Macaca mulatta: one gene and its partners. The protein of the gene in region 1 interacts with the protein of each later gene in a pairwise test. Links are inferred from orthologs where the notes say so. Each region holds a gene or a part of one and is shown on either strand. Other genes may lie near its edges. The genes, in order: RTN3, PTPN9 and CERT1.

The links.
Region 2: the proteins of RTN3 (region 1) and PTPN9 interact in binary tests that used the Homo sapiens proteins (3 or more experiments, as listed by UniProt). The two-hybrid records come from large-scale screens. The link is inferred for Macaca mulatta from reciprocal best matches to the Homo sapiens genes RTN3 and PTPN9.
Region 3: the proteins of RTN3 (region 1) and CERT1 interact in binary tests that used the Homo sapiens proteins (3 or more experiments, as listed by UniProt). The link is inferred for Macaca mulatta from reciprocal best matches to the Homo sapiens genes RTN3 and CERT1.

The regions. Positions count from the first base shown.
Region 1 is NC_133419.1:10,700,453-10,707,985, reverse strand, and holds part of RTN3 (reticulon-3), read left to right. Parts: intron 1-4,872; coding exon 4,873-7,187; intron 7,188-7,533. UniProt on the Homo sapiens protein: May be involved in membrane trafficking in the early secretory pathway. Inhibits BACE1 activity and amyloid precursor protein processing. May induce caspase-8 cascade and apoptosis.
Region 2 is NC_133412.1:53,509,207-53,516,204, reverse strand, and holds the end of PTPN9 (tyrosine-protein phosphatase non-receptor type 9), read left to right. Parts: intron 1-1,112; coding exon 1,113-1,263; intron 1,264-2,218; coding exon 2,219-2,426; coding exon of another isoform or gene 2,427-2,465; intron 2,466-3,206; coding exon of another isoform or gene 3,207-3,232; coding exon 3,233-3,447; 3' UTR 3,448-5,079; downstream 5,080-6,998. UniProt on the Homo sapiens protein: Protein-tyrosine phosphatase that could participate in the transfer of hydrophobic ligands or in functions of the Golgi apparatus.
Region 3 is NC_133411.1:81,910,260-81,918,453, forward strand, and holds the start of CERT1 (ceramide transfer protein), read right to left. Parts: upstream 4,650-8,194; 5' UTR 4,228-4,649; coding exon 4,132-4,227; intron 1-4,131. UniProt on the Homo sapiens protein: Shelters ceramides and diacylglycerol lipids inside its START domain and mediates the intracellular trafficking of ceramides and diacylglycerol lipids in a non-vesicular manner.

The DNA of each region.
Region 1 (7,533 bases):
GGCTCTTGGAGTGCATGTGAAGGGATGAATCTTTGTTTTTGTTTTTTTTTTTTTTTGAGACGGAGTCTCGCTCTGTCGCCCAGGCTGGAGTGCAGTGGCCGGATCTCAGCTCACTGCAAGCTCCGCCTCCCGGGTTCACGCCATTCTCCGGCCTCAGCCTCCCGAGTAGCTGGGACTACAGGCGCCTGCCACCTCGCTCAGCTAGTTTTTTGTATTTTTTTAGTAGAGACGGGGTTTCACCGTGTTAGCCAGGATGGTCTCGATCTCCTGACCTCGTGATCCTCCCGTCTCGGCCTCCCAAAGTGCTGGGATTACAGGCTTGAGCCACCGTGCCCAGCCGGGATGAATCTTTTGAAAAAAGAAAGGTGGTAGACATTTTCTGAGACATAAAATAATCCAGATTTATTCCACCAGACAGTTTTACAGTGTTTAGTATTTTAGGAGCTAACTGCCTTCAGATTCACTGGACTATTCTGTCCTTTTGCCATGTACTGACCTGGGCAACACCAGTGACTACAAGTGCCATGCTGACCAGTTGGAAGAGTCTTTGCTTATCGGAGCTGTTCTAAAAGGCTTATTAGTTTTTGGTCTTCATTCTATTTAATGTTTTCATGCCTTTATACACTTTTTACTTCCAGCCCAATTTTTCCCATTGTCTTGGTACAGGTCAGCTCTGTCCACATTTGTTAGGGTTTCAGCTGGCCAAAAATGGTCTTTTCATTTGCTGAAATTCTAAACAAAATAATTAAAGTTAAAGCTCAGATGATGATGTTACCTTATTTTTCTACACGTGGGAAAGCTTGACTGACAATAATGATTAGCGCCTGCATCTCACAATCACTGAGAAATAAAGGCAGCACTGACCTCTGTTTACCCTCTGAGCTTGCCCCCAGAAAATAATATACACCCTAAATAGTAAGTTATAATATTTTTATTAGGGAACATTATTAGAGGTTTTTTTATATATCTAGTAACCATGTCATATTAAGTAATCTTTTTTCTTTTTCTTTTTTCCTTTTGTTTTTCTTTTTTTCTTTTCCTTTCTTTTCTTTTTTTTCTCCACTCTGTCACCCAAGCTGGAGTGCAGTGGCATGACCGTGGCTCACTGCAGCCTTGACCTCCCAAACTCAAGCAATCCTCCCACTCCAGCCTCCCAAGTGACTGGGACTACAGGCACGTGCCACCATGCACAGCTAATTTTTCTATTTTTTGTAGGGGCAGGGTCTCACCATGTTGCCCGGGCTGATTTTGACCTCTTGGACTCAAGCAGTCTTCCCTCCTCTGCCTCCCAAAGTTCTGAGATATAGGCGTGAGCCACCACACCCAGCCTAAATAATCTTTAATGTTTGAAGTCTGTCAGGCCATTATGGTGCTCAGTAGAGGACTTCTTAGTATTCTGAATATAGGACTTCTAACGTTATCTTTAGTTTTACCTAAGATTATTCTACACCTAACTTGAAGCTTTTGGAGTACTAAAAGTTCAAGAAAGTTAAGAGAAAAGCAAAACTGATAAACTGACCAGTTTGTGTCCTGCTAAAGCATAGACAGTTTTACCATGCTCTTCCCAGTGATGTGAATATTCTTTGGTTAGCATTCAATTTGGTTGCTTTCTTTTTAGTTTAATCAAGCACCATCACCACTATATCACTGTCATCATCATTTTACTTATTGATTTTGCTTATTGTCTGCCTTCCCCTCTGTGTTGTAAGCTCCATAAAGGCAAGAAATTTTTTCTGTTTTATTCACTGCTTTAAGCCCAGTTTCTAAAACAATGTCTGGCACGTGGTAGGCACTCAATAAATACCTCTTGAATTATTGCTAATTCATTTTGTAGACTTTCATCTGTAAGATGACAGATCTGAATCATCTGAAATCTCCATCTCCATAAGCTGGCTGGGCGCAGTGGGTCATGCCTGTAATCCTAGTACTTTGGGAGGCTGAGGCGAGCGGACTGCTTGAGCTCAGGTGTTCGAGACCAGCCTGGGCAGTGTGGTAAAACCACATCTTTACTAAAAATACAAAAAATTAGCCAGGTGTGGTGGTGCACGCTTGTAATCCCAGCTACTCGGGAGGCTGAGGCAGGAAAATTGCTTGAATCTGGGAGGCGGAGGTTGCAGTGAGCCGAGATTACACCATTGCACTCCATCCTGGGCGACAGAACTAGACTCTGTCTTAAAAAAGCACACAAAAAACACATTAAAAAAACATATAAGCTGAACCTTCCCTGTGGGGTGGAGTCAGTTTGACTTACCTCAGAGTTGTTTGAAGAGAGAGAGAGGTTTCCAAACAGTTTTACAATAACCGTAGTTCACTGAATGCTTTCTGGTAGAAACACTGACTAGTAGCTTCAGTAACAATGCATGGCTCAGATTGTGGAATATTTCTGATTTAAATGTAATCTGTAGTACTTTATACTTCAGATGTTTGAACCTTTTAACCTACAGTGCTGGGCTTCATTTCTGTTATGCCCTAATCTAGTCATGCTGAATATCCATACTATATAATGGCAGATGCAAACCATGTTTTACTAAATTAGAACTACATATGAGTTATAGTTTACTTCAAGTGTTTTGTTTTGGTAATATAGCTTTGCCACCAAGCTTTAACTGTTTTCCTTAACGTACAAAGGCTTTTTATTCTAATAACCAGGTTTCAGTTATACTATTTCTAAAGCTCAGCTCTTATTACATCAAATTTCAGTGATGTGTTGAAGTAGGGGAACTTTATATGGCATTTCAAAACATTTTTATAATAGTGGAATTTTATTTATTGTAAAATATTTTTGTCTTTAATAAAATAATTTTGAATGACGTCATAATTTTGCTTTTATCTGGTATTCGGATGTTTACATGAAAAAGAGAATATAGACTGAATAAAGATAATCCTAAAAGAACTTCTCTGTCACATTTTTCCCAGTTATTCATGCTCAAGGCATTGCTGTCCTGAGCCTACTTAGGTCTCAGCTGACCAAGCTGAATCTTTGATTCACTTATTTGGGGCTATTTATTTAAGACCCACTTTGTTCCAGCTCCAAAGATACAACAATATGCAAGAAAGACAGCGCCCAGGGCTGGGCTTGGTGGCTCATGCCTATAATCCCAGTGCTTTGGGAGGCCAAGGTGGGCAGGTTGCTTGAACCCAGTAGTTTGAGACCAACCTGGCAATGTAGCGAGGCACCATGTCTGCAGAAAGTTTAAAAATTAGCCAGGTGTGGTGGCATGTGCCTGTGGTCCCAGCTACTTGGGAGGCTGAGGTGGGAGGATAGCTTGAGGCCAGGAGGTCAAGGCTGCAATGAGCCACAATTGCACCACTTGCACTCTGGCCTGGAGGACAGAGGAAGACCTTGTCTCAAATACAAACAAATAAGTGAAGTAAGAAAGCACCAGCCCTTGGGATATTTGTTTTGATCCTTTTCCCCAGTAAAAACTTGTTAGAGTAGGAAGTTAGAAAACAGCGTGGTAGATTGATGGCTTATTAACTACTAAGACAACATATTACTTTGAGAAGGATATTTTCTATTTTAAAAGTAATTCTGGAGGTCACTCTTTTTTGTGTGTATGTGTGTGGAGATGGAGTTTCACTTTTGTTACTCAGGCTGGGGTGCAATGGCACGACCTCAGCTCACTGCAGTGCCCGCCTCCCAGGTTCAGAGGATTCTCCTGCCTCAGCCTCCTGAGTAGGTGGGATTACAGGTGCCTGCCACTACGCCTGGCTAATTTTTTTATATTTTTAGTAGAGACAAGGTTTCACCATTTTGGTCAGGCTGGTCTCGAACTCCTGACCTCAGGTGAGCCACTGCACCCGGCCCAGTTAACTCTCTCTTAACCAAAGAAATCAATTTGCACAGTACAATATTGATTTCAATGACAAGTTAGTACAAGAGATTTTGGAGGGGCCATGCGTGGCAGCTCACACCTATAATCCCAGCACTTAGGGAGGCCAAGGTGGGTAGATCACTTGAGGTTGGGAGTTCAAAACCAGCCTGGCCAACATGGTGAAACACCGTCTCTTCTAAAAATACAAAAATTAACCAGGCTTGATGGTACCTGCCTGTAATCCCAGCTACTTGAGAGACTGAGGCAGGAGAATCACTTGAACCTGGGAGGTGGAGGTTGCAGTGAGCTGAGATTATGCGATTACACTCCAGCCTGGGCGACAAGAAAAAGACTCTGTATTAAAAAAAAAAAAAAAAAAAAGATTTTGGAGGGGGTCCACCTTTTTCAGTACGCTTTAGTTTAGAACATCACAGCTATTTATTTGTACATGGGACAGATTCTTCCTGTGGATAGAATAGAATAATTCTAGTCTCATTTTCAGGTCAGAGAGGGTCTACTGCATCTCCTAAAAATCAAAAACAAGTCTGGCCACTTGTTTTTTTCCTTCTCAGATTGTGAGACTATAATAGTGGATTTACAGAGGCAGTCTGTGCTCTGAATTGTTCAGCTTACAGATTAAAGTCTATCAACTCTTTATAGTATCAGGTTATTTATTTTGTATCAATTATTTGCTTTTGTTGATTAGCTCTACCAAAATAATAAAAAACCTCCCAAGATTTCTCAATCTTTCCGCCCTTCTTTATGCTTTCTCTTTACAATGGAAAAGTAGTCCAAAAAGTGTTTGTTAGGAAATTTTTTTGTTACTTGCAGTTTGTGGCATGATATGGCTTTTCTGTTTCACTGTTGGCAGCTTTATGCATGTCCTGTAGGATAACTTGATCATTTTGTTACATATTTATGTGTGTATATATACATCCTGTGTGTGTGTATATATATATATTTATGTAATTTAAAAAATAAAAAGCATGCTGCTTGGCTTGGCTAGCTAATGTGTAATTGTACCTGGTAAACAATTATTTTCTTTGAAATTCTTGAGCTCTCTTTGTTCTGATGAGCCATCTTCAGAAATTATGACATCTTCCTTTCTTTCATCTTCTGAAATACATAACAATGGCCTTACAATACTACATGGAGAAAAAAGCAATGTGTTAGGGAGCCAGCCTATTTTAGCCAAAGAAGGAAAAGACCACTTGGATCTTCTGGATATGAAAAAGATGGAAAAGCCTCAGGGGATCAGCAACAACATGTCAGACTCTCCAATTTCTCTTGCAGCAGGAGTTCATTGTGACCGTCCTTCTATTCCAGCCAGTTTCCCAGAGCATCCTGCTTTGCTTTCAAAGAAAATTGGTCAAGTGGAAGAGCAAATAGATAAAGAGACCAAGAACCCAAATGAGGTATCAAGTAGGGAAGCTAAAACCGCATTGGATGCTGATGACAGATTCACTTTGCTAACAGCCCAAAAACCACCTACTGAATACTCTAAGGTAGAAGGCATTTATACATACTCTTTGTCCCCATCCAAAGTTTCAGGAGATGGTGTTATTGAAAAGGATTCCCCTGAATCACCATTTGAAGTAATTATTGACAAAGCAGCATTTGACAAAGAATTTAAAGACTCGTATAAGGAGAGCACAGATGATTTTGGTAGCTGGTCTATGCACACTGATAGAGAATCATCCGAAGACATTTCAGAGACTAATGACAAGCTTTTTCCACTGAGAAATAAAGAGGCAGGACGTTACCAAATGTCTGCATTGCTCAGTAGGCAGTTTTCACACACAAATGCAGCACTGGAAGAGGTGTCTAGATGCGTGAATGATATGCATAACTTTACTAACGAAATACTGACTTGGGATCTGGTTCCCCAAGTGAAACAACAGACTGATAAATCTTCTGACTGCATCACAAAAACTACAGGACTTGACATGAGTGAATATAATTCTGAAATTCCAGTTGTAAATCTTAAAGTTAACACTCATCAGAAAATTCCTGTATGTTCTATTAATGGGAGCACTCCCATCACTGAATCAACAGGTGATTGGACAGAAGCATCTCTCCTACAAGAAAATGCTATCACTGGAAAACCTATACCCGACTCTTTCAATTCCACAAAAGAATTCAGTATCAAAGGTGTGCAAGGCAGTATGCAGAAACAGGGTGACACACTTGCAGAATTACCTGGATCTCCACCTGAGAAATGTGACTCTTTGGGTTCTGGAGTGGCCACAGTGAAAGTGGTTTTACCTGATGACCACCTGAAAGATGAAATGAACTGGCAGAGCTCTGCATTGGGAGAAATCACAGAAGCTGATAGTTCTGGTGAGTCTGATGACACAGTAATAGAGGACATCACAGCAGATCTATCATTTGAAAATAAGAAAATTCAAGCTGAAAAACCTGTTTCCATTCCAAGTGCTGTTGTAAAAACAGGTGAAAGAGAAATCAAAGAGATTCCCAGTTGTAAGAGAGTAGAAAAAACATCTAAAAATTTTCAAGAGTTGGTCAGTGACTCTGAGCTGCATCAAGAGCAACCTGATATTCTTGGAAGGAGTCCAGCTAGTGAGGCAGCAAAAGTACTCAATATAAATGTCTGCTTAGAAGATGTGAGTGAAGTTGCTCCTGAAAAGCCTGTTACTACTGAGAACCCCAAACTTCCTTCAACAGTGTCTCCAAATGTTTTTAATGAGACAGAATTCTCATTAAATGTGACAACATCTGCCTACTTGGAGTCATTACATGGGAAAAATGTTAAACATATAGATGATTCCTCCCCAGAGGACCTGATAGCAGCCTTTACAGAAACCAGAGATAAAGGAATAGTAGATAGTGAAGGAAATGCCTTTAAAGCAATATCAGAGAAGATGACAGACTTTAAAACAACTCCTCCTGTAGAAGTCTTACATGAAAGTGAGTCCAGTGGTTCTGAAATTAAAGGCATTGGAAGCAAATACAGTGAACAAAACAAACAAACAAATGGAAGTGAGCCTCTAAGTGTTTTCCCTACCCAAGGTACTCCAGTAGCATCTCTTGACTTAGAACAAGAACAGCTCACAATTAAGGCTCTTAAAGAATTAGGTGAAAGACAGGTTGAGAAGTCAGCTTCTGCACAGCATGACGCAGAATTGCCTTCTGAAGAAGTACTGAAGCAAACTTTCACATTTGCTCCAGAATCTTGGCCACAGAGATCATATGACATCCTAGAACATAATGTCAAGAATGGATCCGATCTTGGGATTTCCCAAAAACCCACTACTGTCAGAGAAACTTCTAGGGTAGATGCTGTTTCCAGCCTTAGCAAGACTGAATTGGTAAAAAAGCATGTCCTAGCAAGACTTCTGACAGACTTCTCAGGTAACCATTTATATTAGAATACTGCATGTGGTTAATTCTGTGATTGATTACTTATCAGCGTGCCGTTTATGTTAGAGTCTGATTTATACCTACAAAATTATGGCTAGAATACAAATATAATATACTGTATGATGGGAAAGGCAGACTCCTCTCTCGTCTTTTTTTAAATGATTACTTGATTTGGTTTCCTTAATACCAATATTTCCCAAAAATTTTTTCTATGCTCCAGTTATATTTCAAGGTACTTTTCTTTTCTTTCTTTTTTTTTTTTTTTTTTTGAGACAGAGTCTTGCTCTGTCGCCCAGGCTGGAATGCAGTGGCGAGATCTTGGCTCACCGCAACCTCC
Region 2 (6,998 bases), on another chromosome or scaffold:
GGAGTTCAGTGGTGCGACCTCAGCTCACTGCAACCTCTGCCTCCCAGGTTCGAGCGATTCTTCTGCCTCAGCAGAAGAATTCCCAAGTAGCTGGGATTACAGGTGCCCACCTCCATGCCTGGCTAATTTTTGTATTTTTAGTAGAGATGGGGTTTCACCATGTTGGCCAGGCTGGTCTTGAACTCCTGACCTCAGGCGATCCGCCACCTCAGTCTCCTAAAGTGCTGGGATTACAGGCACGAGTCACTGCGCCCAGCCTAAGCTTTTTTTTTTTTTTTTTTTTTTTGAGACAGAGTCTCGCTTTGTCATCTAGGCTGGAGTGCAGTGGTACCATCTCAGCTCACTGCAGTCTCAACCTCCTGGATTCAAGCAATCCTCCTGCCTCAGCCTCCTAAGTAGCTGGGACTACAGGTACCCACCACCATGCCTGGCTAGTTTTTGTATTTTTAGTAGAGACAGGGTTTCCATGTTACCTGGGCTGGGACTTTAGGCCTTTACACAAACCTCCTGCTAACATTCCAGGAGATGTGTGTTTATCAATTCTCTATTATCCAACATCTCTTATTGGGGAATACAATAAGCAGTGGCTGAGGTATAGGCCAGAGAGTTCTCTCTGACCTATCATATTTTCTCTACTGTTTTTTTTTTTCTTTTTCTTTTTCTTTTTTTTTTTGAGATGGAGTCTCACCATGTTGCCCAGGCTGGTCTCAAACTCCTGGTCTTAGGTGATTCTCCTTCCTAAGCCTCTCAAGTAGCTGGGGTTACAGGCATGCACTACTACCCCCAGCTACTATACTGTTTTTTTCTCTGTTCACCCGGTATTTATCCCACATATATGAGAAGTACTATTGCATATTAGGAAAAAGACTAAATGCTGTAGTAAGTGCTCAGTAACTGTATGCTATATGAGTACATGCAGAAACTTTGGCTGTGAGTACATTTGTTTAGAATGAAGAGGTTTCCTTTCCTTTCTGCTGAGAATAAATGGTGTAAGTTAGAAGCAATGCAAGAGATGATATTGCTGCCTGGGGGTATATCAGGTCTTTGTGGAAGCCCGGTTACTGCTGTGGAGAGGAAGGATGGAAGGCTTACCTTGCTCTGTGTGTCTTCAGCTTTGAAGAAGGCGGCAGGAGAAAGTGTGGCCAGTACTGGCCTTTAGAAAAAGACTCTCGGATCCGATTTGGCTTCCTCACAGTGACCAATCTAGGCGTGGAGAACATGAATCATTATAAGAAAACAACACTAGAAATTCACAACACAGAGGTAAATCCAGGTTTCTTTTTTCTGACCTTATTGAAACAGGGGGAGAATACTTACTGTAATGAAAATCTCCAGAGGGAATAGATAGGATACCAGGGAGGTTATGAGTTGCTTCTGTTTTTCTAGGGACAGGATGAGGATATTTAACTCACAGCCAATATAGCCATATTACTGCAGCACAATAGGAACATTAAATAGGAGTAAAGCTTATAGAAATCTGGGGCTGGGTAAGGCCGGGCGCGGTGGCTCAAGCCTGTAATCCCAGCACTTTGGGAGGCTGAGGCGGGCGGATCACAAAGTCAGGAGTTCAAGACCAGCCTGGCCAACGTAGTGAAACCCTGTCTCTACTAAAAAATAGAAAAAATTAGCTGGGAGGCAGAATCGCTTGAACTCACAATGCGGAGGTTGAAGTGAGCAGAGACCTCACCACTGCACTCCAGCCTGGGCGACAGTGAGAGACTGTCTCAAAAAAAAGTAAAATAAAGAAAGAAGTCTGGGGCTGGATGCAATGGCTTACGTCTATAATCCCAGCACTCTGGGAGGCAGAGGTGGAAGGATCACTTGAGCCCAGGAGTTCAAGACAATCTAGGCAACACAGTGAGATCTCGTCTCTACAAAACATAGAAAAAATTAGCTGATCATGGTGGCACACGCCTGTGAGGTCAAGGCAGCAGTAAGTTTGATCATGCCACCGTACTCCAGCCTGGGCGACAGAGTGAGATCCTGTCTCAAAAAAAAATTCTGGATCTTACAGTATAGGAATTCTGCCTTTTCCAAACAATTAACCAACCCTTCCTTTGGGTTTATAGTAAAGAAGCAGTTACGGGAAAAGTTGACAGTGGTGGATAGAAGCCTTGGTGGTAGGGATAACCAGGGTGTTGAGAATCTGGAAAAGCCAGTGGTAGCTAGGGGCAGGCAGAAATAACCTCGTTAACGTTTACTTCTTTTCTCATCTAAGGAACGGCAGAAACGCCAGGTGACCCACTTCCAGTTCTTGAGCTGGCCAGACTATGGTGTCCCTTCCTCAGCAGCTTCCCTCATTGACTTCTTGAGAGTGGTCAGAAACCAGCAGAGCCTGGCTGTGAGCAACATGGGAGCACGCTCCAAAGTGCAGTGCTCTGAGCCACCCATTGTGGTCCATTGCAGTGCAGGCATTGGCAGGACAGGTAATGCACCTAATGCAGCTCTTGGTGTCTGCAGAGGCAGTAGGGGTGGAGGAGGAAAAACAAAGCTCTTAGCCCACATCTGTGATTGGAGAAGGAACTCACTTGCTCCCTTGGTGGTGAATTGCTGTGAAAAATCCCTCTTCTAATGTCCTTTTGGTGGACCAAGTGATGGCCAGAATATATATTTCACAAGCCAAGTCCTCTAGGGGTTGATGTTTTATATACCCCATCATAACGCTGATCCTGTCACTTGTTAGCACTGTCGCTGCAGGTATCCCAGGGAGCTCAGCTGGTCTGCTGCTTCCTTCCCATATAGCCCTCCCTGGAGGGACTCCCCACCCTGTGCTGTGTTCTCCATTCTGGAGCCAGTTAGCAGCTTTTGTCTTAAGGGCATGTACATGGTAGAAAATGTTGGCCTTTCTAGTTCAAAGGTCCTTTGGGAGAAAGTTGGGAATAGGTTTGTGTTAGGCCTCTGAAAAACTTGTGGACTCTGGAAATTAGGTGTGGGAGTGCTGTCAGTCTGTCTGTCTGGGATTGAAGCAGGAAGTTCCCTTATGTCACCTTCCCGTTTCCACTTCCTGTTACCCCAGTGTATGTCCTGAGAGGTAAGAGGCCTTCTCATTTCTCTGGCCTCCAACACTCCCTGTGACCTCCTCCTCGAGTCCTTTCAGGCCTAAGGCCACCTGGCCTTCTGCCAAGAGGTGCTTTGCCTTTGAATTCATTCATTCAGTTCTCCCTGGGTTATTTGGTAGAGGGAGGAGGAGAGGAGAGGTAAACCAGATGTGATCACTTCCTTCCTTCTTCAGGTACCTTCTGCTCACTGGACATCTGCCTGGCACAGCTGGAGGAGCTTGGCACCCTTAATGTGTTCCAGACGGTGTCACGCATGAGGACCCAGAGGGCCTTCAGCATCCAGACCCCTGAGCAGTACTATTTTTGCTACAAGGCCATCCTGGAGTTCGCAGAGAAGGAGGGCATGGTATCCTCTGGCCAAAACCTGCTGGCTGTGGAGGGTCAGTAACTCTCCCACGAACCTCCTACCTGCTGGCCAGCCTTCCTTAAACTACCCTGGACACCGCTGAGCCTATAGGTTGCCATCAGTTACGCTGAAGCCATGGATCAACTTCTTTCTTCTGTCTCCCGGCACACGTGTGCACACAAGGCAGCCTTTCCCTTTGGCTAGATAAATGTGGTGAAATTGCCACTAGAAAGGGCCAGCAGCAATGTGTTCTTAATTCCTAGCACCTGCTATCGAACTGTGCCTTATTAAAACCAAATTGTGGCTATTGATTTTTGCCAGGGTCCCCGAGGTAAGTGGGGAAGGAACCTCCCTCCTCCTTTCTCCCACCATTCTCTTTCTGGAGGTCTCCTGTCTCCCACTCCTTCCCTTTGCTAGGATTTTATGGGGAGGTTTGATGAGCATTTGCCTTTCTCCCCAGAGAGCTTGACCAAGTTACATATTCTAGAGATCGTCCTGAGTGCCAAGCACGTTTATAAGTAGGGCGTGTATTCGAGTCCTGTCATTCTGTGTGTGTGCGTGTGTGTACTTATGTGTATGGGTCCATATGTACGTGTGTATATAATATATATTGTATGTGATAATATGATCGTATTCTATAAATACATATACACACAGATATTCCTTTGTAGAAGTTCCTGGGGCTCTGTGTTGCAGTTCAGGACTCCTTGCTTCTTGGACCCTGCTATTTATCCTGGACTAGCTTGGGTTGGTGATCATGTCTCCTGTTGTCAGGCTACAGAGTGGTGGAAGAGGACACACACACTTCTCCATGTTCCTGCCACGGGGCCCCTTCCTTAAGTAATGACTTACCTCCCTCCTATTGGAGCCACGAATGTATTAGTTTGTGGTGACACTGGGTTAGCTCAGCATGGATTTCCCTTATCTGATGATTTTTCTGCGTTTACTTGGCCAATTTGGGGAACAGACCTCCACTGTGATTCCGTACTCTCTCTTTGCTTTCACTATCCCATGGATGGGAGGCGGAGGGTAGAGATGAACTCACTGAGCAGCCAGAGCCACATGCAATCGGTACGAAGTCTTAGAAGGAAGGAGGCGTAGCCCAGGTATGAGAGAGAAAAAACTACTAAGAAAATGCCTCCCTGGGAGGATGGGCTGGGGCCCTTTTTCTTTTGCTGGATGGTTCCTTTATGAAGCTTGGCCGTCTACTGAGATGCCCATCTCTTCCTGCCTGCTAGCCTGCTAGACCCTCAAACTGGGTGGGTTCTGTGTCAATAAAAAGCTTTACCCTCTGGCTGAGTGAGGTGGTCCCCTGCAATCACTGTTTGTCCCCTACCCACCCAGCCTGTCCCTGCCTGCTCCCAGCCCACTCATCCTTATGTGCTAGGGATAAATCAAGAGTCCTTAGCACTCCACATTCCCAAGAAAATCCCAGGAACTCCTAAACCTTCCCCTGTCACAGAAGATGAGGTTGGCAGCTGATGAGACCTCAATAATTTTATATTGTAATAAGCTCTTTGAATGTGTATATTCTTATTTTTTACAATCATTTCATTTTTGTATTTAATATCAATGGACTGAGGCAGATTCAGAAAATAATTGTAATGTTCATATTCAATATCTTACAGTGATACAGTTTTGTATTTACATATAAATATACCGACATGATCAAAACCCTTTTAGCTTCATCAATTTAGCAGCCTGGGACATGAGGGAGGGGGTCCAGGAGCTGGTCTGGGAGGGATGAGGGAGGCAGGGAGGGACCCAAGGCTTCAGTATCTGAGACTTAGAGTTCTGACACTATGAGTTCACCTTGTCTGTAAGCCATGGCCCTATATCTGGACAGAGGGACCAGCACCAGTTCAGTGCTTGAGATGTGCTAAGTGCTATGCTAGGTGCTTTTTTCCTCATTGCTTCATTCAAACCTCACAACAATTCAGTGAGATATTATTATCTTCTCTCCCTTCTCCTGTGCACCCCTTTCTCATTTCTATATAGATGAGGAAAGTGAGGTCCAGAGGGTTACAGTGATTTGCTCTAAAACGAGCTCAAGTTGGTCTGCTTACAAAGCCTGTGGTCTCCTCACTGCATGGAAGATGGAGATCTTGTCTTTGGAGAACAGAGGTTTGTTTAGCTGTCCTTTCAGAGTATAAATAGTTCTTAAGTTCCAGGTTGTTGTTCTTGTGCCCATGCTTCATGTAGTAGACTCGAAGCGCGACAGGGTTGGTGACTGACTCTCCTAGCTAGGACCTCCTGATGTGGGGTCCTCATGTCTGACTGACTTTCCTAGCTAGGACCTCCTGATGTAGGGTCCTCATGTCTGCAGAGTACCAAAAGGGTTGTCATTCTCCCCAGGAAACTCCCTATCTATGGATACATGGTGTTTGTGAGAAGATTTTGAGTCATTTGCATTTCTCTCGTAGAAAGAATGGAACCAGAAGCTTTGTCCATGGAAGACCACTCCCCATATCACACCTGTTGGCTGGTGATGGCTTGCCCAGTTGGGGCAATTGTGGCTGGGAAATATTGAGGTGTTCTTAATAATAGTCATAGCAAGCAATTTACTGGATGCTTACTCTATTCCAGGCACTGTTTAGAGTAATTTCTAGGTATCATTTCATTCACCCTCCACAACCTTTTGAGGTAGGTATTGACAGAAGAAAAAAATTGAGAGACAGGAATGTTAATTTGCTACAGCCAGGATCCAGACCATCTGACTCCAAAGTACCTTCTTTCAACTCTTACACTAGACTTCCTCTAAGGATCCATCTTCTGATCTGCCAATAAATTTTTATTGAGTTTCTTACTATAATCAGGAGCTCAAGTGTAGAGCAGAAGATTAATCTAGTTCCTTCTCCAGATAAGCCTCCATTCTCTTGGGAGTGCACAAACATAAGAAGTGAACAGAGATTCTTGGAAATTTGAGAAACCAGAGAGGTTAGGGGTTTAGTGGAACGTGTAAGAAATGGGATTAATGATAAAAGGCCTGGAGGAGGTAACTTTAAATTGTCATTTATTTGAAGAGGCTGTAACCCAACTGCCCTGTGAATATAAAGTTATGCTTGAATTCCTCATTGCATATCTGAAGATTGGTGAGGTTATCTATCACTTGAGCTCCATAAAATGCTGATTCCTGGGTCCATCCAGTAGGTTGTTAGTGAGTGACAGGATGATCCAGGTTTGGGAACCACAGATTTAGTTCATGTTTCTGACTCTGTAGAGAGTTAACGAATTGATGTCTCCTAAATTTTCAATAAAACTCGAGGAACTCCTCCCACTGCCATTGTTTGTAGCTTTTACCAGTTTGATCCTACCTGTGTTAGGTGTTAAAGGAGGAGGGAAAGGGAAGGCAGAGACGCAACCCAGAATCTGTTTGGCAAGTCGGGATTCTCATATAGGAGACTTACTGAACAAAGCAAGAGAAAATGTTCAGGGTCTGGGTGCGGTGGCTCACGCCTGTAATCCCAGTAGTTTGGGAGGCCGAGGTGGGCAGATCACCTGAGGTCAGGAGTTCGAGACCAGCCTGACCAATATGATGAAACCCCGTCTCTACTAAAAATACAAAAATTACCTGGGTACGGTGGCTTGTGCCT
Region 3 (8,194 bases), on another chromosome or scaffold:
TAGAAAAATCTCAAAACTATCTGCCAATTCCAAAAACTAATTAAAAATGGATTGCCAAAATATACTGCATTGGCTCAGGCTCTATATCCACTGAGAAATCTTTTTCTATTCTCTAATTAAGCATTTTTGAGATTTATTCAGTTCTTAAATTTTCTTTTATTTTGTATTTTTTTGAGACAGGGTCTCACTCTGTCACTCAGGATGGAGTGCAGTGGCACCATCTCAGCTCACTGCAACCTCCCGGGCTCAATCTTCCTTCCTCCTCTTCCCAAGTGATTGAGACTACAGGTGCGTGCCCCCACGTCTGGCTAACTTTTTGTAGTGATGAGGTTTCACTATGGTGCCAAGGCTGGTTTCAAACTCCTGGGCTCAAGGATCTGTTTTCCTTGGTCTCCCAAAGTGCTGGGACTACAGGTGAGCCACCATCCCTAGCCAGTTCTTAATTTTTCTAAGCCCCATCATTACAACCCCTCTCTGAGAACTCATCCAAGCTGACAATTTAACTCATTCTAGTGGCTCCTAATCACCACTTCCTTATTTCTAACCGCTTGTGATGTACCACCACTTAGACAAAGGGTTGAAATAAATGATAGTTACCAACAAAACTGAATTTACTTCTATAAGGTGTACTTCCTTCCTATTTTCCTACTTCTTCTTTCCTGCTACTTCTGCTCAGAGTCTGTGTATTAGATATACAAACAGATTAGTGTATACAGGATTAAACAGGCTCAACTACTCTACAACTCACGTGAAGAGAGTTTTGACAAGTTACTTTTGTAAGCTTCAGTTTCTTTGCCTGTTGATTGATGGCTGAATAAAATAATGAAAATGCCTAGCATAGTCACAGAAGATACTCCTAAGTGTTCCTTCTCAATATTTATAGCCCATCACCAAAACCTGCTTATCTTTCCTTCATAGTAAACCCTTAAATTTGCCTCCTCTTCTCATTTTCAACTATTCCAATCAAATTACCCAGTTCCTGTATTCCTTACAGGACTTAATCTTTTCTCTAGTATCTTCTGTGTTTTTCATAATTTACACAAGCTTATTTACTTACTAAGCATGTTTGCTTACTTTTCTTACATGTTGACCGTATTGAGTCTCCAGCTCCAAAACTTACATGGACAACTTCCCACTGACTGTCATACAAATTGTTTAGGGCATTCAAGACCCACCATGGATTAATCTTACCTCATTTATAATTACCACACTTCATAAGGCTAAATTTTGTGATAGTGGTCAAGTTACTTACTCTGTGTTCTTTTCTTTGTCAAACTCTGTCTCTCAGAGTTAAGTTTAAACAAGAATAGACTTAGAACAGTGCCTGGACATAGTATTTTCTGAATCTGAGGAAGAGTTATACATGGCTAATGAAGCTTAACCTTCAGCATTTCTCACTAGAACAGAACTCTTTCAATATTAGAGAAGGGACCCCAGCAATTATGTATCCGTAATTCAATATTATGTTCTTGTAAGAGGCTGAACAAACTATATCAGCTTCAGGACTCTTTTCTCAGTAAGCTGTTAGCTGTTATTATGACACCTGGAAGACAAGTTTTTTGTCTTTTCTCTGCTCTCATAATGTTCCCTCACTCTTCCCCATTTAACAAATACAGACAAGGCAATATGCTAGACATTGCAGGAGAACTGAATGTTACTGTGGCAAACAGGCCAGCAAACACAAACACAAGAGAAAAAAATATATATTTAGAATAAAACAAAATGCTATGGGAATTCAAGTGAAGGAGGTCTTGAATGATGGCAAAATACAAAAAGGCTTTACGGAAAGGACAGTATTTGACTTGGACTCTTAAGGATGGATAGAATTTCAAACAGTTTAGTGTGTGCAAAAACAGAAGGTAAACCATGAAGGATGGAGGAAATTCAGAAATTGAATGAGATTATTTTATCCAGCCTTAGTTGCTCTCAAGTCCTACTAAGGCATGCATCTTTTCCCCACCATGATCCATCACGATACTTGTTATAACCAGACAGAATTATTGTCTATCAAGTATTTTTGGAATCTATACACTTAAGTGATTTATAAGAAATATGCTTCATAGGTATTTCCATATATTTCAGATTACCATATGGAAAATACCCTTTGAACTGGTATATTTCTAATATAAATTTACCCAAGCCCATTCCAAATCCACCCCATTTTGGGGGACAAACGAAACAAATTGTACCGGGACTTATTTACATTATTCAATGGAAGGAAAAGAACAAAAGCCGAGTTCTGATCCTTGTTTAAATTACCAGGTGAATATGAAGAATTCAAAATATATAATTTACATTTAAAAACATGCACCATACTCAGTATGAGTATATATATTCAATTTAGAATACCCTTGATTAAAAAGTTTCCAGAAAACACTGTATATAACCATAAATTGGTAAATCTCAGGAAAATTTCCTTCATAGCTATTAGCAAGAATACCAAAAGCTGTATTCCTATTCATTCTACATAAGAAGCAACAGTCAAAATTTAAGTTATTCACCTTCCACAGAGGTGATCAAATGCATTTGTATGCATTTAAATATCGAGATTGGTCTTCCATTTTTTGATCTATAGTATACCTACTCCACATAAAGTAAAACTCAGAGCACTGGTGACTTTTTCCCCCAGTCACTCCATTCCCCCAACCCCCAAAAAAGTAATTATCAGTAGGTCAAAATTACAATTTGTTTTGTAAAATACTCAACACATCACATTACTAATATGGCAGTCAGCTTCCCATCTTATGAGCAGTGATGAAACTATCAAAATCACTGAGAAGCAAGTAACCCACTTCCTATTATCAACTGAAAATGTGTACCTACTACACAATGTGTTCAATAGAGATTCCTAAATTACAGGATACATTTAATGTAAAGAAATCCTGAGGAGCTTCTCGTTACTGAAAACCTTGCATTGAAATTTCAAGAATGATCACAGCATCAATATACAACTAATTTTTCGGCTATACAAATAAAAGTCAACACTTGCAATCCTTAGTTCTGACTACTCATGCCTTTTCTAGTTCCCTTCTCATTAGCTTTCTACAGACATTATAAAAGCATTATATTAAACAATTCCACAAATAATGTCCAAGTGATGTGCCAAAGTATGAATACTGGAAACAGGGTGATTTCTTAATAGCCAGTAGCTGCACATGACATAGTATCTTATGACCAGCTTGTTGAGGGACTGGCCCAGCTCCCCCTCTCCAAGTTAACTGCTAGCTCCAGCCATTTCTAAAAAAGTTTAACAGGAAGGGGGAGAGAAGTCCAAAAGGCTATGTGAATCTTCTTATAGCAAAAACTTAAAAAAAAAAAAAATCCCAACCACGTAATATCAAGAGATCACCCATCTGCAGTTCTATAATGGCTGCTTTCCTAAAATTTTGATACACGGATTTTAAAAAATACATAAAAGGTAAAACATCTTTTCCTTACCCTGGACCCCTTACCGCAAAAAGAGTTTATTATTAAATAATGCTCTTCTTCCTGGACTAAAGATCAGTCTCCTTTCTCACATGTTTCAAGTTACTATGAATATTTCCTGTACCCATCACGTGCCGATTCAATATCTCTATTCTGAACTAAGGTACAGGGTGAGGGAGAAAGTCCTCCACATTAATCTGTCTCACTACATCTAACCTGGCGAGTTCAACACCTCAAATTTCAACACCAAGCTGAGTCGCTCCGGCTTCTGTCGAAACAGCTGCGTCCGCAGTGCCCCCCAACCTACTCGGCTTAGCATCCTCAGACAGACCAACCTCTTTTAAGAGGTCCGACTTGAACCGCTCCCGTGCCCAGTCGTTCGGACACCGCTGAAGCCCAACCCGGATTCCTTACACCCGGGACAGCTGCCGCCCTAGGTCCCAAGGCACGGCACGCATCTGGTCTCCCAAACTGGATCCCCGGTTGATACACCCTTTCCCTGGTCCTCGGCTGCCCCCGACGAGCCCTCGGGCAGCAAGGACAGGCCCCCTATATCCCCGCCTCATCCCTAGTCGCCGCAGCAGTACTCAGCCTCGCACCCCGGCACGTTCCGCGCCTCCCGCCAGCCCCACCCCACCGCCTCAGCGGATTGCCTCGCGGCAGGTGAGTCTGGCCAGGGGTCCCCTGGCACCACCGGTTGCTCACCTTACTGAGGACCCCGCAGCGCTCCACAGGCGGCCCAGATTCCGTCTCTGGATCCTCCTCCGAGCCCGACGAGTTCCAGCTCTGATTATCCGACATGGAGGCGCGACAGCCGAGCAGGAGACCGGCCCCCGCTCCCTCAACTGCGCCGGAGGAGGCGCCCAGTCCTCGGGGTGAAGGGTCGGGGGATGGCGAAGCGAAGAGTGCCAGCTCCGCTGTGGGGGGGAGCAGGAGGAGGGACGAAGTCCGCTCGCCGCGCCGCCGCCGCGCCTGACACCGAGCGGAGCGGGGAAGGAGGACGAGCGGTGAAGGAAGCCTACCCTTCCAGCCGTCAGCCGCCGCCGCCGTCGCCGGGACCCCTGCGTTGCGCCCGGTGCTGCCACCCGAGCTTAGCCCCCTCGATGCCAATTTCAAATAGCGAAGGAAAAGGGAGAAGAAGGGAAGAGAAAATCCGGCCGCTGAGACCCGAGTACACTCACACCTCCGCTACCGCCGCCATCTTGCTGCCTGGCCCACTATTTACCCTCCCCTCCCCTGTCCTTTCCCCTCCCCTTCGTCCTCCCATTCTCCCCTCCTCCTCCCCGCCCCGTCCCCCTCCCGGCGTCTGACGCGACACGCCAAGCGTGCGGGATCCTCCTCCCGCACCCTACCTCCGGCTCTCCCGGATGACGAGGGGTAGAAAAGTAGGAGGAGCGCAGTAAGGAGAGGGCGGGATAGGGATGCCGCTGTGCTGCATTCTGGGAAGGGCGTTGGTTCGTCGCTCGCCCAGCCTCCTGGGAGTTGTAGTCGCGATCCTGAGGTAACGGGTGAGTATCCCGCGCGGGGATCGCTTGTCGCCTTGGGGACTTGTCAGTCGGTGGGTGGGCTTCGTTTGACAGTTGCGTGACCTGCCTCTTGGCCTCGCTTCTATCCTTGCCTTGTGTGTTTATGACGAACCCTCCGGGCTTGCGGGCCAGGACGTGAGAGAGCTTTCTGCTGAAGATGACGGGCCTGCGTTGCAGGGCTGCTTGTCGAAAGCCCGGGAGCGCGTAGCCGCTTCCGCCTCAACCACGGGATGGGGTTTTGTGAGCTCCTAGTGCCAAGGGGGTTTTCTTTCCACCAGACCACCGCTGTAAATCTCGAGGGTCTTACCCATTAGAAGTTAGAATTCACATTTGACGTTTAAAGGAAGAATTTCCTTAGTACCTTCTGACAAGCACGCACTTCGCATTTTTAGATTTCTAGAATTTTCTTTGTGGAAAGTAATTTTGAGGTTGTCAGAGAATAAATAACGTTAGAAAGGTTTTTAAAGTAAAACAAGAATGTCAGATGATAGCCTGGGATTTTCTCTTAGTTGTAAATGAATATCTTACTGAGAACCACGTTAACCATGCCTGCCCCTCAAAGATAGGAAAGTTTGGATATATAGAAACTTTCTCGTATTAGAAATACGAGATTAGGGGATTAGGCAATAGGTGGCTATTTTTAAGACTAGGGTTGAATTAGCAGAAAGACCAAAAGAAGATCTAACAGCTCTTGTCAGTTGTCAAGGATAACTTTGATGGTGAGACCTTTGACTTTGTAGCTTCAGTAATTTCCTCTCGTTAGCTATTTTAATATAGTCGAGTTCCTGATAATTGCCAAGAGTAAAATTTGTTATTAAGCCTTAGAAAGAATACCTTTTTTACTACAAGGATGGGACAATAGGAGCGAAATTTCGAGTCTAAGGGAAAACGCTAGCCGAGTGCCGTGGCTCACGCCTGTAATCCCAGCACTTTGGGAGGCCGAGTTGGGCGGATCACCTGAGGCCGGGAGTTTGAGACCACCCCGTCTCTACTAAAAATACAAAGATTAGCCGAGCAGGGTGGCGGGTGCCTGTAATTCCAGCTCTTTATATCCTGGTTTCAAATCTAGGCTTGATGACCTTTTCCCATATCCCAGTTTCCTATTTTTTACTTCCTCAATGGGGGATTAATTACGATTCTAAATGTTTGGTAGCATGAAGCTAGGTTATCTCTATCGTGGCAGTGGATATTTAAGTAGGCATTGCCAATATGTATCTTGCTTTCTTTTACTTCCTTTTCTGACCATCCACACTCCATTTATATTGATGAATTCTTTTACTAATGTCAATTATTACTGTATTATGCTCATACTGCCATGTCTTATTCTGCAGCTTTGATCCTTAAGGTGACTTAGCATATCTGTCTAAGACTCCTTTATCTGTTGATTTTTACCATTTAAGGTTCCAAAGGCAGCTGTATTTTTGGAAAAGTGGGAGGGAAGAGGTAGATGGGGGTACTCATTGATACCTTAATGCACTTCACAGCTACTTGAGAATATGTCAGATCCCACAAAAAGTTCTAACATTCGAGAATAAGACAGTGATTTCAGAAATGGAATTTCAAAGGGTGTGTAGGCCACCCTTTTTATTCTGTTTCCTGTTGTACAAATGAGAGCCAGGCGAGGAATGTTTCAAGGAGAAATATTCTTACTATTCAATGAAATTGAAAAATATATTCCCTTATCTTTTACTCATATCTGTTTGGTTTATGGGATAAAAACTTGTTAGGGTAGTTGGTATTTCATAGGCTTCACTATAACATTGAAAAACCTTTTAGTCTAAAAATCACACAGTACAGTACACTGATGAACAGTATTAGTGCCCACTCTTGGCATGTACACATGTTCTTTCTTTCGTTTTTATTTTGCTTAGCTTTTGAATTGCTTTTCCTGTTAGATTGAGAAATTATTTTATTAATATTTTAAAGGCATACTATATAAAGCAGTGTGGTGGTATCTTATGTATCAGTAGAATCCTCATGATAGTTATTTTGTAAACGTGTTTTGCTTCTTGTTTTTTTCTAACCCTTTTATTGTTTCACTTCTATAATTTCAAATCTTTTTCTTCTTAGTCAAATAAGTTGAAAAAATATTTCTATAGAGCATACATGTTGCTATGGTGATAGCTTATGAAAATATAGTTTATCCCTGTTTAAGATCTTTATTAAGATCTTGCTATATGATCATCTGAGATACTATAAAAGTAAAATATAAACCATTTCTGTAGAGTCATTGTTTTCTAGCATTTTACTGTCTAGGTATTCTGACAATAATTATGTGTAGAAAGTGAATAAAGATTTTAAATTGCCTGTGACGTAGGAGGTTTTCAGTAAATAATAACCGATGAATGAAATAAGTTTAGCCTGGTTGATAATTGAAGGGAAGTTGTAGGAACTGCCATTAACAGGGCCCAAGAAAAAAATCACTAACGTGATTAAAATCAGTCAGAGACCAAAGAATCAAATAACATCATAGCTTTTTGTAAGTAGCAAGTGTCATTTGCTAAAGGCCTACAAAATGTCAAACATTGTTTTAGGTTCATTTGATTTATTCACTCGTCACAAAAATCCTGCAAGGTAGACATTATTCTTATTTTACACATGAGGAAATTAACATTCAAAGAAGTTAAGTAAATTGCCCAGATCATCGCTAGTGAATAGTCTAGTCCAGGCTTTGGACCTTAGACGCTTGTAATACATAACTTTTAATACGTATAGAATTGATTTTAGATTGTCACTCAGGCATAATGGTACATACCTGTAGTCCTAGCTGCTCAGGGTGCTGAGGCGACAGGCTAGCTTGACCCCAGAGGTTTGAGGCTATAGTGAGCTGTGATCGTGCTAGTGTACTCCAGTGTAGGTGACAAAGTGAGACCCTGTCTCAAAAAAAAAAAAAAAAAAATTCCAAAACACTATTATCCCAAATTATTTTAAATGATTAAACATTTGAGAATCTGTCAGAGCCAGATAGATTACGTTCTAGGTGTGTTACATAGTTTTTCTTTAGTTTAACGGTTTTCTTAAAAGAAAATTCACCCACATACATTTTTAAGGTACAATAACATAAGAGCCAGTTTACAATTCTTTTCTTGCTAGTGTGTACTAGCAAGTATATGTTCCAATTACCCATAAATAATTTAAATGATCTCTGGAGCCTCTTGCAACTATCACCTTGTCTTGTGTTGCTGCTAAAAGGAATAACGTGTTGATTTTAACATTTAGTATTATCAAGAAAAATAGTCATT